4 linked regions of the Caenorhabditis elegans genome follow. The protein of the gene in region 3 purifies or fractionates together with the protein of the main gene of each other region. This does not show direct contact. Each region holds a gene or a part of one and is shown on either strand. Other genes may lie near its edges. The genes, in order: snx-3, nspg-12, W10C8.5 and deps-1.

The links.
Region 1: the proteins of W10C8.5 (region 3) and snx-3 fractionate together in Caenorhabditis elegans (co-fractionation; one large-scale study listed by BioGRID). This does not show direct contact.
Region 2: the proteins of W10C8.5 (region 3) and nspg-12 fractionate together in Caenorhabditis elegans (co-fractionation; one large-scale study listed by BioGRID). This does not show direct contact.
Region 4: the proteins of W10C8.5 (region 3) and deps-1 fractionate together in Caenorhabditis elegans (co-fractionation; one large-scale study listed by BioGRID). This does not show direct contact.

Annotation. Positions count from the first base shown.
Region 1 is NC_003279.8:9,062,755-9,066,210, forward strand, and holds snx-3 (Sorting nexin-3), read right to left. Parts: upstream 1,650-3,456; 5' UTR 1,645-1,649; coding exon 1,549-1,644; intron 1,507-1,548; coding exon 1,441-1,506; intron 1,395-1,440; coding exon 1,174-1,394; intron 1,086-1,173; coding exon 980-1,085; 3' UTR 524-979; downstream 1-523. Other genes in the region: prmt-7 (Protein arginine N-methyltransferase 7), read right to left, coding at 1-36, 89-213, 305-393; rad-54.L (DNA repair and recombination protein RAD54-like), read left to right, coding at 2,333-2,436, 2,851-2,929, 3,003-3,246, 3,290-3,429.
Region 2 is NC_003284.9:5,255,490-5,258,909, reverse strand, and holds nspg-12 (DUF19 domain-containing protein), read right to left. Parts: upstream 1,612-3,420; 5' UTR 1,602-1,611; coding exon 1,568-1,601; intron 1,518-1,567; coding exon 1,401-1,517; intron 1,354-1,400; coding exon 1,266-1,353; intron 1,211-1,265; coding exon 1,121-1,210; intron 1,073-1,120; coding exon 1,008-1,072; intron 960-1,007; coding exon 842-959; intron 787-841; coding exon 647-786; intron 605-646; coding exon 597-604; 3' UTR 526-596; downstream 1-525. Other genes in the region: nspg-13 (DUF19 domain-containing protein), read right to left, coding at 2,163-2,191, 2,248-2,393, 2,442-2,559, 2,995-3,149, 3,199-3,251.
Region 3 is NC_003279.8:2,853,444-2,857,706, forward strand, and holds W10C8.5 (arginine kinase), read right to left. Parts: upstream 2,290-4,263; 5' UTR 2,228-2,289; coding exon 2,129-2,227; intron 2,000-2,128; exon of another isoform or gene 1,852-1,999; intron 1,807-1,851; coding exon 1,009-1,806; intron 961-1,008; coding exon 748-960; intron 698-747; coding exon 608-697; 3' UTR 532-607; downstream 1-531. Other genes in the region: W10C8.4 (Glutathione S-transferase), read right to left, coding at 283-353.
Region 4 is NC_003279.8:504,607-509,582, forward strand, and holds deps-1 (P-granule-associated protein deps-1), read left to right. Parts: upstream 1-1,866; 5' UTR 1,867-1,870; coding exon 1,871-1,981; intron 1,982-2,032; coding exon 2,033-2,139; intron 2,140-2,195; coding exon 2,196-2,410; intron 2,411-2,458; coding exon 2,459-2,619; intron 2,620-2,670; coding exon 2,671-2,802; intron 2,803-2,847; coding exon 2,848-3,099; intron 3,100-3,148; coding exon 3,149-3,289; intron 3,290-3,337; coding exon 3,338-3,442; intron 3,443-3,491; coding exon 3,492-3,725; intron 3,726-3,775; coding exon 3,776-3,885; intron 3,886-3,931; coding exon 3,932-4,151; intron 4,152-4,198; coding exon 4,199-4,270; 3' UTR 4,271-4,365; downstream 4,366-4,976. Other genes in the region: Y65B4BL.4 (Dolichyl-phosphate-mannose--protein mannosyltransferase), read right to left, coding at 900-999, 1,054-1,165, 1,214-1,443, 1,487-1,606; Y65B4BL.7 (uncharacterized protein), read right to left, coding at 4,366-4,608, 4,656-4,817. UniProt on the Caenorhabditis elegans protein: Component of P-granules which is required for P-granule formation and integrity in adult germ cells. Promotes the accumulation of glh-1 mRNA and localization of pgl-1 to P-granules. Involved in RNA-mediated gene silencing (RNAi) in the germline.

The sequences.
Region 1 (3,456 bases), 6.2 Mb from region 3:
GAGCAGCCATTAGTGAAAGAAGTCCAGTTCCAGTACCTGTAAATAGTAAACTTTAAAAACCGAATAAGTTGAAAACTTAACAGCTAACCAATATCTAAAACATGAACTTTCCCATCTGTATTTTCATGTTTTTTCTCAGCAATCGTAGTTTTTAATCCTGCGAGGAACTTGTCATTTCTATCAAAATCCAGAATCATATCTCCAAATCGACTTCTGAAAATTAACGTTTTAAAGCAAGAAAATGCGAGAAGTATTGTTTATTAAATTTTATTTCTATGCGGAATATTTTTTTAAAGTTGAAAACCTGGCAAGTTCCTGAGCCATATCATAATCCTCTTCAGCCACAACCCATTCTCGTTCGCCGGTTTTTTGATTTATCTTCTCAAGGAACATTTTTCAGAAAACCCTGCAAATTGTCTATCTTAAAGATATGCTCGTTTTAATGATACACTCAAGATATTTGCGATATGCACACAACTGCCAATTTACCACTTTAAAATCCAAAGAAACGAAATCAAGGAACGGAAGACTTATTTTTCATATTTGTTCAAATAAAAGGGGTTCATGCAATAAAAATAGTGCAATCAATTGGGAAATTGGGAAACTATACACAAAAATGTAAAAATAAATATGAAATAAACAGGAGCCAGAAAATGGAAATCAATGGGAAAGAAGTGGTGATGGGGACAAAGTACACAATTTCGAAAAATACCGCATTTTGGTGGAGGGATGGAAACAATATTTTGATGGGCCGAGATTAAATTGGAAAAAAGCTTCTAAAAACTCACTTTTTGAAAACTAAATATCTCAAAAGATCAGAAAGCGTTACTCATTTTTTGTTATGTAAAAATATGATAAGAAAACATTATCATTTTTTAAAAGTTTCCTTCTGTTTATTGAAACAGACAGCGTTAAAACTATAACTCTGGGTATTTTGAGATTTTTCTCGTGAGCGGAGAATTTAGAAACATTTTAAAATTTAAGCGGTACGAATTTTGCCAGGCACGTAGTTTTTGTCAATAGTTGGCTCCTGGAGGAAAATATGGAGAGAGCGTTCGTTTTGAGCAAGTGGATGTCCAGCAACCCTGCAAGAACATATTATTAAAACTTTTAGAAATGTGAAAATTTTCTGAGTTCATTTTGATGTCCGTATAGTTGAACAGTTTTACGTACTTATTGATGAATAACTCGAGAGCTTTGCGCCTATTTTCAATGAATTCCTCTTCAAAAATTCCATCATCGGATCGGAATGGCAGTTGCCGTTTGAATGATTTTCCTGGCAACGTTGGAACCACAATCTTGCTATCTCGCTCTAGTTCAGCACGAACCCATTCGAAATCACTGTATCGGCGACGCACGCTTGATTCTTTCTGCTTGAAAACGGGGAGATTCGACTGAAACAACGATTTTATTATGCGGTCAGTGTTAATCTATACTTACTCTCATTCTGATTTCGTAATCCGTGTAGCGCATTTTTCCAACACCATGAGTGATAGGATTGATAACCTGCAAGTTATCTTGATCTAATTCATTGATTTTTATTCAAACCTCAATTTCAAGGAAGTTGGCCGGCGGGGCATATGCCTCGTCCAGCGTTTGCCGTTTTGAAGGGATCCGCTGAGTTGCCGACGCGCCGGATGCCATTTGCACTGCAAATATTCTAAATTATATCAAAGTTGCTTTGAATTGTTTATTTAAGTATCGATTTTCACAATATAAACAAAATAAAAGTGAAATTTATGTTGGAATCCAAAGCTTTAATCGACAACATGCGAGAACATCGTTTGCTTTTTGTTTCGCTGTTCGGCAAACTAAAATGGAAAAAATAATATGAAGCTGTGAAAAATCAATAAATAAAACTGGAATTTCAAGGAAATTACGGCAAAAATGACTCATCGCGCGCCGATAAACAAAACGAATCAAGAAATGAAAAAAGTGGCAAAAGTACGCAAACACTTTTGTGTTAATGCACACAAAAAATTCAACCGTACCTCAAACTGAAATTTCAAAAGCAGACACCGCAGATTCATGGAATGAAAAAGCAGTGACTCGCTATGACTCAAAATTTTAAAAAGATTATAATTGATTCAAAAGCAAAAAAATGTTTCACAACAAATCTATGTTGTAAAATAATTGTTAAATTGAAAATTAATAGCTGACACCGCCCTGTGTCCGTGTTTCGTCTTCTTCGAAACTTTGTTTTCGTTCAAGATGGCGCGGCGCCGTTCTTTTTGAATAAAAAGAGCATTTTAAAAATTTTGTTGAATTTCTGTAAATTCTACTTGTTTATTCAGTTGTTCTGCGAAATTAAAGATTTTCTTAGTTTTCAGGAATGCCAAAAAAAACGTTCGAAAATTTAGAAGATAGTCATGGAAAAGATGTTAATATCCCAGTTGAACTGCCAAAAAGGAAACGAGAAGTTACACCGGAAAATTTGTGAGCTTTTATAAAAAATTCAAATTTTAACACATACCGTATTCCCTCTATTAGTCTTGCATGCAAGACTAATAGAGGAAATACGGTAATAGTCATGCACCCCTATTCTTGCCAGGCCAGCAGTATTTTGTCAAAACTTCAAAATTTTCGCCATTTTTTAGCTAAATTAAATTTTAAACTGTTCAAGTAATTGATAAAACAATAGAAAAGCATGTATTTTGCATGATTTAGACTGTTTCAAGTCAAAATTTTGACGATAAATGGCCAATTTAACAAAGCTATTGGATCTTCGAAAATTAGTCTTGTAGCCTCTAATAGTCTTGCAGTCCCTATTAGTCTTGCACCCCTACGGGTCTATTGAAAATTAGTCTTGCATGCAAGACTAATAGAGGAAATGCGGTATATTATTTTCAGACCTTCCACAAGCTCTACTGCTCCAACACAAAAACGGAAAAGTCTAGGATATTCAGGACGAACGGAGGAACCGAAAAATGTATTAATATTTTTAGTTGCAATGAAATACAATTCGGAACTTAATTGTAATTGTAATTTTTAATGTTTTTCAGATACACAAAACCTTCATTTCCCCTTTTTCTACGTCAGTTTCTCCTTCAAAACAAGGTCTTCGACGACGAAAGAAGGCACTGCCTGCCATAGAACCACCTGTATCTGTAGAAGAAGCAAGTCCATTACGTTTTGTGAATATCGATGTATTCTCTAGACGTATGGCTTCCGAATCATCAGATCACGATGCTATGATTGCGAAGTTGTTGTCGAGAAAGTTTTCAATTCCGATGGAGGGATATATGTGTAAGAAAACATGTAAAAATGTTTATTTTAAACGAGTTTTCAGTATCTGGTCGAAGCCTAGGTCTTGGTGGAAACCGTCGAAAATGTGCTCTATTTGATCCATATCATGAAGGTGCATTGATTCTTTATGCTCCTGAACATCTTAGTGAACACGCACAACTCAAGGAAGATAAGGATCGAAAGGTGAGAATTTTAGCTGCGAGAATCGAA
Region 2 (3,420 bases), on a different chromosome or scaffold from region 3:
ACCAAGTATTCATTTTAGCCTGCCAATGCATATATGATCAGGGGTGGGTGGCATTTATTTTCGGCAATTCTACAAAAAAAGTTGCATTATTTTTTCCCACATTTTTCATTAAAAAAATTAGTGCCGAACTACAGAATGTTGTTTGATTTACTTGAAAATAACATCGACGTTAGCTGAAACATTAATAAACGTGCTAAAAAAATTGCCTGAAAGATATCAATTGTGGAAATATAAAGCTGGAAAATTCGATTCATCATTTGGCAATTTCCAACCATTTTTGAAGCACTTTCAGCTAAAATGATTGTAATTATCGGATAAATTAAATGAGTTTTTACATTTTCACACTATTTTTTTACGAATAATGTTAGAACAACGTGGCGCAATATGTAATTTGATCTGGTTCTACGAAATTCAATAACATTTCGTATTGTACTGTTTTGTAATAAAAGTTTTATTAATTTTTTTTGGATGGGAAATTATTTCAACTTGATGGTATCTCTTTTAGATTTAGCTTTTTTGTTGAAACATACGAAATATTTTATTTCAAAATCGAAATACCACAAAATTGATAAAACATTTGCATTTCTTCCCGGCGTTCAGAATGCTGAAAAAATAAAAATTGCTCATTAATCTGTTTTGGACTTACTTGAGCATTGAAGACTGCAATCGTGCAGAACAGCTCGACCAGCTTGTCGTGCATATTCACATCCCCACCAAGAGCTCTCAGAGTTACAGGAACTGTGATCGAACAATGCATTGAAACATCCGGTATATTGCTCGAAGTACCTGCAGATTTTTTAAAAATTAATTATGTTGTAAATTTTTGATCATATTTCATTACATGCAGTGGTTCTTATAATCTGCCAACAAATTCTTGGCAAATGTGGCACGGCAATCGCTGATCTGAGTTTGTTTTGTGGAAAAAATGTTCGACATACAAACATCGTTGTTGGAGAATCCTTAAACATTTAAAATTTTTTGTTGCTCAAAAATTATTGAAAACCTACCTTCAAATCCAGCTCCGCACGCAAATCCGAATTGTTTGTACATTGACACCACTTGCACGGCATCTCTGAAAACTTGGTAAGATTAACAGAAATAATGAATTGTGCCAACTTACCCAAGTCGAAGACCTGCTTTCACGTGATAACTAATGCTGGTGCAGTCACGTCGTGCTGGTCCAAGACATTCATAGTACTTGTTAAAAGCGCTGAAATCAATTTTTTTCGATGGGCAAAAGACAATGTAAGTATGAAAAAACGAACTCGCAAACTTTGAACAAACCACTTATACCGTTGATGTACATGTTTTCAATTTCTTGACGGTGACATTCAGGCTCGAAAGCAAGAATTCCTCAAAAATTGATAGCTCATTCAATTAAATTGTTATAAAAGCTTTACCATAACAGTTTGACAAGCCTAGATCAGATTTGAGCTGTAGCCCGCAACACTGAAGTAAATCTGGAGTGCATGTACCTGTAGTTGAAGGAGCGCATGCACAAAAAGCTGTTGGTGCTACTGAACATGCTTAAAAGGTCAATCAATCTGGGGGTACATTTTGAACTTACTTGCCAACACCGCAATCAATACATTCAACAGCATGTCGTGGAACGGAAAAGCTAGGGAAATGTTTCATTTATGGGATTAAGAATTGCAGTCCTTATCAGTTGAAGTGATTATCAATAATCCTGTACGCTTAAAAGACATTGATTATTGCATTAAATGGGCTAAGCGGAAAAAGTATTTTCGGAACCTTGTATTTGAATTTGACGGTGAAATTTTAAAACGAATGAAAAAAAAACTAATTTTTTATTTCAAATATTGCATAATAAGTAAAACAATTTATAAAAGATACACAGTCAAAAAATAGTTTTTTTTCAATAATAATTTGCTTATAATCTGTTGTCCTACCAAAATGTTTAATATACCAAATGTTGAAAACGTCCCAAAAAAGCTATTGGCAATATTTATTTCAAAACCCTTTTTTCAAAACTTTTCATGAAGTTCCCCATCGCCACACCAATAGATTGTCATATACTATACCGATGGCATTTTCTCAGTAATAAAAATTTATTCTTATCACAAATGATAATACATAGTTAAGATTGAATGACAAAAAGTTAATAATTTGTTTGTATCTGACATCATTTCGTTTTATTCGACTCATCCGATGATTCCTCCGCTATATGGCACTGCAAAAAAACAAAATCAATTTTACTAGATTTCACAATTTTCAAGTTTCACTTACAAACACATCTAGCTGCACATTGAGGGAATCGAGTAAAAACATTGACTCTTGAGTATTCACAAGCCCAGAACATGGCATCGTTTGATTTTTCACCACAGTTGTTTTTGAACTGAGTTTCGAAGCAAATCAAGTACTTATTGGCTTGTCTGTAAGTTTGGTTGGCGTTTTTTAATAATACCCGATGGTCTTCTTACGTGCAAGCCTGATTTGCGTCAACGTCACTGTTCACCTCATAATCTAGTCGGCATTGTCTCAGGACATCACTTTGGCTTCTCCAAGTAGTTGACATACAGCCCTCATTAAGGAGGTATGCTGAAATGAAGAAAGTTACCTCGTTACGGTTGGAATCCATTAGTCTGTATAAGGCGCTATTTTTGTGTTAATCGATTTCTGATCTCTGAGCAAATTAGGAATTTATAGTAAATGCGCAGCCGACTTCGGTTGTGGTCAGCGATGGACCTATTTCCCATGTATATCATATTTTCCTGCGTCTCTTGAATGTTTTTTTTAAACCTAATATGTGCTAGTATTCATGCCTATTCTAATCATAACTCAGAAATTCCTCTAAGAGTCTCATAATGTGTATAAATTACCACAGCAGCAAGCCCCAGAAAGTTTGATTTCGACACTCCCCGTGTTTTCCACCTATTCTAGAAACTTCATACCATGCCAAAAAGATGTGTAATTGTGTACTCAACAAAATTCAATTCCGACATCGCGTCGGGAAATGACAATAAAAATTCATACTTTGCAATCCAGCTCCACAGACAAAGTGCATTTGGTTGAACAGTCCAACAAATTGATAAGCGTTGAATGGAGTGGCCGATACAGAAACAAAATGGACCGCAGACATGCAGTTCGCGTATTCAGAGCCCATGCAAACTTTAAACTCGCGGAAAGCTCTGGAATTATATTCAGGATTCGAGAGAGAGTATCTAGTGAAGTACTGACTTGCAAACTTTACGCATTCCACTGGGTCCTTGAGCCTGGTAGTTTGTCTCCACCTAAATTTAATCAATAATTGTGTTTTGCTCTTTTTTCTGATAATCAAAAAATCAGATTATAATACAATCATGATGACATAATTAATCCCATTGACTTAAAAGTTATCATCGACACGTTCTAAACCTCACATTTCACATTTCACTATGCACACCCTTCGTCATATCACCT
Region 3 (4,263 bases):
ATCTTTTACAGTTTTGTAATTACAGTACTCTTTAAAATGGCACGTATTTTTACATTCAAGAAAAATGTACCGGGCTTTTTTGGAGCTTTAATTTTTAGAGGAATAATCGTAATTTTTAACATTCATAGAACTCTTTTGTTCCGTCAAGAAAATTATCTTGACATAACTTTTAAGAAAACGAAAAATTGTAATGTTAAAATACAACCACGATTTACTGAACATTCTCGAAAAGTCGCTGCGAGACCCAAAATCTTCTAGAGCCCAATATCCCAAAACTCTTACAGTAACCGAATAGTCTCAGCTCGTCCTCGTCCAGGCAGGGAAATCAGTTCCAATTTCGTAGGCGCCGACATTTACAGTAGTTTTACAGCAGCGAAAATATAAAAAGCAATGTAGTGAAGCTTCTGGTAAAAATAGAGAGTATGACAGTCCGCTAAGCGGCGCCCCATTGAGCAAACATGATGGCTCAAGTGGGTAACAAAAGAGTAAAAGTAGGTGATAGAGTGAGAGAAAGAAAAGAAACATAGAAATCATTCTACTACCATTTATTTAAATAGTTAATAGAGAAATAAAATATGACTAAACGAGTTTTTCTTCTTCTTCCAGTTTACTTCTGCTTCTCCTCCATTTCAATTAGCTTCTTCACTCCGTCGTACATTTGTTTCACAGCTTGATATTCCGAGAGTCCGAGGCGAGCCTGAGAAGTTGGAAATGTTGATTTTTCAACAAAAAACGTGGTTTATTTACCTTGTTAGAAATGTCATAGACTCCTCCAACAGATTCCGAGTGTTCTCCGTGGATTCCGCGCACTTGGAGATTGAGCTTCTCGCAAATCTCGATGAAGTCCTTGCGGGCGGCGAGCTTTGGAAGAGCAATGTGGACGGATGCACGAACTGTTGATCCGAGGTTTGTTGGGCAGAATGTCAGCCATCCGAGACGGTCATCACGGGAGAATGGAACCTGGAAAACATAATATGTTGAGTTTCGGAGCCTTATTAGAAAATCAACCTGCTTCTCAATTCCGCGAACTCCCTTGATAAGTCTGTCAAGCACAGCTCCGACATCAGACCCTTCTTGCATTGAAATGATTCTCATATGATCTTCCTCGTTCACCCAAATCAGGAAAGTCTTGTCGTTATTGTGGAAGATACCACGTCCCTTTGGCCAGAAGTTGCAGGCATTTGCGTATTGAAGATGTCTATCTCCCTCCTTGAACAGGAAATGATCAGCAATCAGCTGCTTCTGAGTATCCTTGCCCATACCATCCAATGGATAGTACTTGCCCTTGAGTTCCTTGTCCGAATATTCAGAGAACGCCTTCTTCACCTTTCCTTCCATCTCAAGATAGTTGTCCTGAGTGAGACATGGATTGAATGGATATCCCTTCAAAGAACGTCCACATCGGATTCTCGTCGACTTGATGTACTTTCCTTTTGGATCCAATGGTGGGAATTCCTTAGTCTTTCCCTCTCCAAGATCAACTGGTGGTTGCTTCTGCTTTGGACTGAATCCGTGATAATCCTCAATGATCTTGTCGAACAATGGAGCGAACAAAGTGTAAGCTTCAGCGTCCGGAGCGTAGACTCCAACTCCGGCGTCCAAATTATAGACACCTGACCGGATGCAGTCGTAAAGGGTTGCTCCGAGCTTTGTACGCTTAGTCTTGAGCTTCTCGACGACGTCCTTGGTCAGATGCTTCTTGAGCAGCGACTTGCACTTGGCTCCTTCTGGACCATTGAGCTTGGCGTAGGCCTCCTCGATCTTCTTGATCGTGGCAGCGTCGACTTCGGATTTGGCTTGAAGTTGCTGGAAAAAGTATATTTAGAGATTTGTAACATTGTTTCTGAGAACTGCGTTCCCGGAATATTTTCTTTCATATCTTGATGACAGAGTTTCAACACGGCTACGACCGCGACGCGGCTGCTTGCGGAGCGGCTCAAACAAAAAATAATTCATCAATTTCAGAATGCTGGAAAATCAAGCGCTCTGGGCAAGAATAGCTTTGTTGTTTGAGCCGCTGCTGGTCATGGCCGCGGACTAGGTTCCGCTGAACCTCTGCCATTTCAAAAAATGCACGGACTCTGAGAGCCCGTGAGGAAATATTTCTGAAAATTGCCTGTTGAATTACCTGTGGAGTGAGAGTGTAGACAGCGGATCCGGCTCCAAGGGCAGCGAGCACTCCAGCGACATACCGCGAGTTTGTTGAACGGAGAAATTGCGATGCCATTACGACGAGTTGATTGAGAAGAGATCGAATTGAATACGATAACTTCTTCGGTAATAATCAATCTGAGCTTTCTTTCATGACACGTTGACATTTGGAAAACACGTGGAAAGATTTAGAAATTAGATAAGAAAATTGTCACGTTTTTAAAAAAATGTTTTGGAAAGTTTTGTTCAAAATTTTTTTCTCAAGCTTTTGAATTTAAATACGTGAGAAGCTTGTTTTTATTTTTGCGCTGAATCGATGCACCCTATTTTGTGCGCAAAGATCAAAAGTTATTCTGGTGGGTCTCGCCACGATCTTTGGAGAATTGGTGGTAAACTTTCAGACTGTTCAGTGGCTTAGGCTTCGGCTTCGGCTAGGCCTAGACTATACTATTACCTACCTTACCTATCCTTAAACTTGCCTTTTTGGATAATTTCAAGGTCAGCACAATGATAACGACGTGTCTAGACACTTGTTTCCTCGAAACCTTCCAAATCCCCAGGACAAAAGAAATGGTTAAACTTTCGATTTTTTATTGCATTTCAAAAACTAGAACCTATTCAAAAACAGACAAAAAGTAAAAGAACAAAAAGACAAATTGTATGCCATCTATGACGTCATAACTTTCAAAAAATGCCAAAATTGATGGTGTTAGTGATAAATAATAATAATATTCCCAAATAAAAGTATTTTCCAAAGCTCCACGGAGCCGTCAACAAAAAAATGAATAAGAAAAACGAGCGTTCTCCTCTTCCTGCTCCGAACCGCCCATCTTTTTCTTTTTTTTCACATTCACTTTCTGACGGGATAATAATTTGTGTGGCTGGTAGGAAGAACGTGCAAATTGAAAAAATCATAAGCCTGGGGAAACTGTTTGTCTTTCCAAAGTTGCAACCAAACAAAATGAAACAAAACAAACGAGAAGGAAATCGAGAATTTGAGAGAGAGCGAGAAATTTGCGCGTCAAATGTGCTGTATTGACTCCGCCCATCTAGAATCTGGAAACACCGACGGGCGAAATTTAAATGGTTACTTCAAAATTCTGCAACTGGAATTTCGAAACACCACAAAAGAATAAAAAATACAACATTTTATTAAGTTTGAAAAACCTATGCTGTTGGCGAATTTTCAACTAATTTGAATTACCGCGCTTTTGTATTCAAGCTCCACCCATAGAACCGTGTTGCACTCTTCCTTTTTTTCAATTTTCGACTGAAATTTTTATTTTTCGTGTCCTTTTTTCAAATTTTAATCAAGAAAAAGGTCAGAAATGTTCAAAAATCGCAAGCAAATCCCTGCGCAAGGATGACACGCAAATTCGTGAAGCGTTCCAAAAATATTTTTCGTATTTCAAACGTACAAAAAAAATTTTTTTTTAATTGCCAAATAATTGGCAATTACTAACTTCCAAAGCAAGAGTTAAAAATGGCTAAAAATTGCCAAAAAACTGCTAAAAAAAAGCTAAAAATTGCAAAAAGTTGCCAAAAAATGCCAAAATTTGCCAAAAATTGCCTAAAAATTGTTTAAAAATTGCCGAAAATTGCTTTAAAATTTTCAAAAAAATTGGCAATTGCCAATTGCCAAAGCAAGAATTAAAAATTTGCTCAAAAAATTGCCAATTTCCGAAAGTTTCCAAAGCAAGAAAGAGTTAAAAAAAATGGCCAAAATTATCAAAACGTTGCCAACTGCAATTTCCCAAACTTGGCAAAAAAATGTCTAAAAATTTCTAAAAATTGCCAAAAAATAAGCCAAAAAAATTGCCAAAAAATTGTCAAAAAAATTGCCAAAGAAATTGCCGAAAAAATATTGTCAATTGCAAATTGCCAAAATTGTCAAAAAACTGCCAAACATAACCCAAAAAATTGCCAAAAAAAATTGCCAAAATTGTCAAAAAATTGCCGAAACAATGCCAAAAAAATTGCCAATCGAGAAATAAAAATTCCCATCTTTTTCCGCTGAAAATCAGCCTAAAACTAAAATAAAATCAAGAAATCACTCCAAGCCAAACCAAAGAACAAATACCAAGAACGTGACATAATCGAAGAGAATGGAAA
Region 4 (4,976 bases), 2.3 Mb from region 3:
TATATGATTTTTTGAAAATCGAAAAAATCTCAGTTTTTGCCTAATTCCTATTTGAATTACCGCCAATTGGATTTGTTCGATGGAGCGCGCTTGCACGTTTTTAAATTTATTTATTTTATTTATTGTTATTTTCCACCGATTTTCAATGTTTTCGGTGTATTTTTGCTTGAATTTTAGAGAAAAAGTTAAAATAAATGCAAATTTCCGATTAAAAAATCACTGAAAATGCGTAAAACTGAAAAATATGCTAGTTTCAGGTTTGTTGTCGTCGGAACTCATTATTTTACAGTTTTACGTATTTTTCACATTTTTAAACACTTTTTAGCAAACATTCTGCATTAATCTTGCTTTTTTACTTCTCTTTCCGATAAAAATACACAACTAATGAAGAAAATCAGTGACATAATAATAATAATAATAATAATAATAATAATAATAATTTATTACGCTCGCTGGGAGACGTGAAGGAATACAGAATACAAAAGTTATCATTGTTCGCTTGAACTAGAATTGGTGCAGTCGGGCAATCGTTTCCATTCCATTAAAATGTTGTCCTTGTCCTTGCGTTGTCCTTGCGTAGACTCCCCCATAGTGGGCGAGCGATTCCCGAGTGAAAATAATCACGGAATGAAAAAATAGAAGAAAAATAGAATAAATTAATAAAAAAAATAATGCAAGCGCGCTCCAACGAACGAGTTCAATTGGCGGTAATTCAAATAGGAATTAGGCAAAAACTTTTTCAGATTTTTTCAATTTTCAAAAAATCATATAAAATTTATAAATTTTTTTTGAAGTTTTTTAACGTGATATTTGGTCATTGTGGTACCATAGGCGTGTTTTAAAGCAATTTCCCCACAGGGTGTAGTCCACATTTAAAAATTAAAAATTAAAAATTCTACCTAACAAAATCGAAAATTTCAGATTCTCCTTGATTAAAAGCTTTATTATTGAGTAAAGAGTCCGCAGCGTCCACACGGAGAGCGGGTACAAGATGGAAATCTGAAAATATTTAGGATTTTCAAGGGAAAATATCGATTTTTTTTAGCAAAATACCACAGAAATTGCGGATGGAATGAGTAGAAGAGCCGGGTTGACTTTCCGGGGAAAGTTTCGACGTGTGATGCTCGTCTCGGAGAGCCTCATTCCCAAGAATCCGGTTGCGATGCTGAAGAAAATCGATGGAAAAAGTCTAAAATATCCCCTGAAACCCTACCTAAAAATCAGAAAATACGAGAAAATATTGATTAAATTCCGAGCCGGCACATAATTCGGGCGGATCAGCACTCCATTGAAGTTTCGAAACGTTTCGCCGTTCCACTGAAGTCCATCGAAGCCGGGAACGGATGGCGGCTCGAAATGCTCGTCGACACTCATTTGACTGGCCCTGTAGAGCCCGATGATGGCAATGGCGAGCATTCCCACTTCCACATGGAATATCAGGCTCTGAAAATTAAAATTTAGCTTTTAGACGGAAAAAATCGATTACTTTGACATGAACTTGATCGAAAAGCCAGCGATACGGGTATTTTCGGTGCAGGCGGCCTGATTCCGGACGTGCTCCTCGAGATATATTGGAATTTGTCGAGCGGATACTAATATCTGCCATTTTTTCGCTGAAAAATCAGAAAAAATAAGTTTTAAAACAGAATTTTAATGGAAAAATAAACGGAAAAATTCGAAACTTTTTTTTCCGCCATTGAACACCAATGTGCCTTTAAGGTACGGTAGCTCTTCGTGGTGAGACCACTGCGCCGCGCATCTGATTTCTCGTGGGAAATTTGTTTCGAATCCTACGTTTTTTACAGATTTTTCTTTTTTTTCGTTTCGCTCATCATTTTTTTGTTGCAAAAAATCCAATTTTCAGACAAAAATGTCAGAACGCCAATCCAAATATTTTGACTATCAAGGTATCGTCATTTCCTCCACTGGACAAGATAACCAAGATTCGGAGACGGACCTCGTTTATCTCATTCAAGCTCATGTACGTGAATTCCCTCCGTTTTCATATTTAAAATAATAAGCTCGTTTTCAGGGAAAAGCGGCCCCGAAGAACATCATGTACGGTGTCTCCAAGTGCGCATTTGTTCCAACAAACTTGGAGAGGAATTTCGATAATATCGAAGAGGCAAAAAATCTTGAGTCAGTATTTATTTGATTTGAGCCCATTTTTAATCTGTTAACACTTGAATTTTTAGACGTCGATCCAAAATCCCGCTAAAGTTCGGTGAAGTCATCCTATGGAACGAATCGGACTGTGATCACGATAAGAGGATAATCCTTCATATCAAACGAGAAAAACCAATTTATGAAGCGTCTTCCAGCAGAAATGGACTTATTTTGAAAGTCGGTGGCGTCATCCAGCCCACCTCAACGACCTCGTTCTGGACGCCATTATGCACCGTCACCATGCGTATGTTTCTTCTTGATTTTCGTCTCTCTAACCATATATTTATTTCAGCAGAGACAGAGGCGACCCGTGCGGAGCCAGACGTTTGGCTATACGCCTGGATTCGATTCGAAACTACCATGAAGAGTGGTCTAGATCCTTTCAATATGACTGCAACATTCGAATCGTTTGACAGTTGCGATCCATCCGACCAAGCACGCGTCTGTGAAGCGGTATTTGCTTTTTAAAAATTTTTTACGGGATTTTGAACAAATAACTTTCAGCCATGGAACGCAGGCTCTCCTGACTCTAAATTCGGTGTTTGGCGCCCGGATCCAAAGCCTGCTGATAGCGACGACGAAATTGATATCGAGCCGAGAGAAGGCTGGCACTTGCCAGAAGACAAATGGGCCGAGGTTAAGGTTGCTTTGTGGATTCTCGTTGACAATTTGATTTTGCAGGTCATCAAGATGCAGCTTGGCCTGTATGTCGGCGAACGCCTACTGATTTGCAAAGAACTCTCGCAGTTCGACTTTATTATCCCACTGCAGAAGCCATTTTCCCGAGGAACGGACAAGACTTTGATCTACCCAGCCGTCGGAGAATACTTTCATTTCAGTGCTATTTGGTCGATGCAGCACAACGGTTTTCTGATCTATGAGCTTCAGCCAGTTCCACTTCTCAGACAGCATGTAACCTCTGTCAACGGAAATGTAAGTTATAATATTGATTTTTTTGTCCAGAACATAATTTTTATTTCAGCTCCTTACCCGCGTCGTTCCTGCCAGTATCAGAGGTCTCTTCGTTGACAAGGAGGGCACTCTTGGATTGATTGATGACCCACACCATCTTCTTTCATTCTTCGAGTTTCATCCAGCTGGTTATGAATTCTTGAAGGCTATGGTAATCATGAGTGGGTCTTATTTTGAAACAAACGCTTTCAATTTTCAGGCCGAAGTTCGTGCTGTTCGAACTTCAGAAAACAAATCTGTCCGTTACCGCATTGTTCGTACATCGGGAATGTCCATTTTTGAAAACTGGCTTCGTGATACTCAGGTCTCTAAAGTTAAATTAAACTCGTCCTTTTCACCCCTGAATTTTTCAGTTCGTTGTTGGTCCAGTCAAAGGAATTCGAATCAATGAAGACACTGTCATTTGTGCCAAACATCCGAATGTCTACTTCAAAATCCCCAATAACTTGAAGGAAGGAATCCCCATTGGCGGAGGAGTTCAATTCGTTGGAAAGCGACAAGCTGGAGTCGACAGTGAAATTATGATCACCGAATGTTCTCCATGTCCAGCGTTCACTTGTAAAAATTACTCGGTCTCTGGTGATACGGTTAGTCTTCAATTATTTAATAGTTTTTATTCTATGAGGAAAATATTCAGCGCTTGTTCCAAGTGTACTTGAAGCCAAATTGCGATCATGAGCAGTTGGCGGAGAGTGATTCGATGGGATTTGTGGATTTCAGAGAGTTGGAGACTCCATGTAGAGGAAAGTGAGTGTGTCAGGATTTGTAAAAATAATTGTAACTGAATTTTAAGGTTCCTGGCATGGGTCCGTGAATCCATTACTGTCAATGATTGTCGCCGTGCTGCTACCATCATGGAAGTATGCTCGACAGCCATCTGTCCTCCGTTGATTGCAATGAGCGCGAATTCGAGCAGAGCAACATCGGCCAGAACTACGCCAGCTGGAAGTTCCATTGGATCCAGATCATCAATTCAATCAAGAGCATCTGCAGCTACTTCAGTGAGCTCAAACGTAAGTTTATTTTTAAGGTTGGAAGATGATAAAAACAAGTTTTTCAGCGATTCGTTGGCCCTTCAAGCCGCAGAACTCCATCTGGTACTCCACAAAGCTCAACATCTTCCAGGGTCTAATTAAATATATACGCATCCCGTTTTCCCCCGTATTTGTGTTTCAAATGTTCTGCTCATTTTTAATCTACCCGTTATCCAACCAAACATTTATTTATTTAAACTTCAAGTTCCACCACCATCCCATTCCGCACAACTTGTCTCTCGTAATTTTCTCGTGCTCTAATGAAGTTGTGGTAGGTTATTCTAGTGAATACACCCATGTTAAGCAGCGAATACATCCAGAAAAGTCCCAACAAGCCGGCAGCGAGATACTCCCCCCAAAATGATGGTTGATCGGTACATCCAAGATAGGGTAGCATCGCGATAGACGTGAGCAAGTTCGTTATGCACTTGAAAAACTGAAATTTCAGAAAAGATTAGGTGTATCAGAAGGTTAAAAACAAACAAATGACATATAGATGAACGAAGCCAGTGATGGAATCGGATTCCGAATACGAGAAGCCATTCCCGGAGATACTGTGATAAGAATCTGTGTGATCGAGAACACAATGAGCACACCCACCGGGAACATGAATTCCATGGAAACACGGAGGCAAAGGTCACAGTACTGCAAAAAATGCGAAATTTTGGCGATTTTTGCTCTAAAAAATGCACTGGCCGGGTCTCACCACGACAAATTTTTGTTGTCAGTTGAATGCCAATAGAGTGTGCGCCTTTAAGGAGTACTGTAGTTTCAAACTTTTGTTGCAATCGATTTTACAGTTTT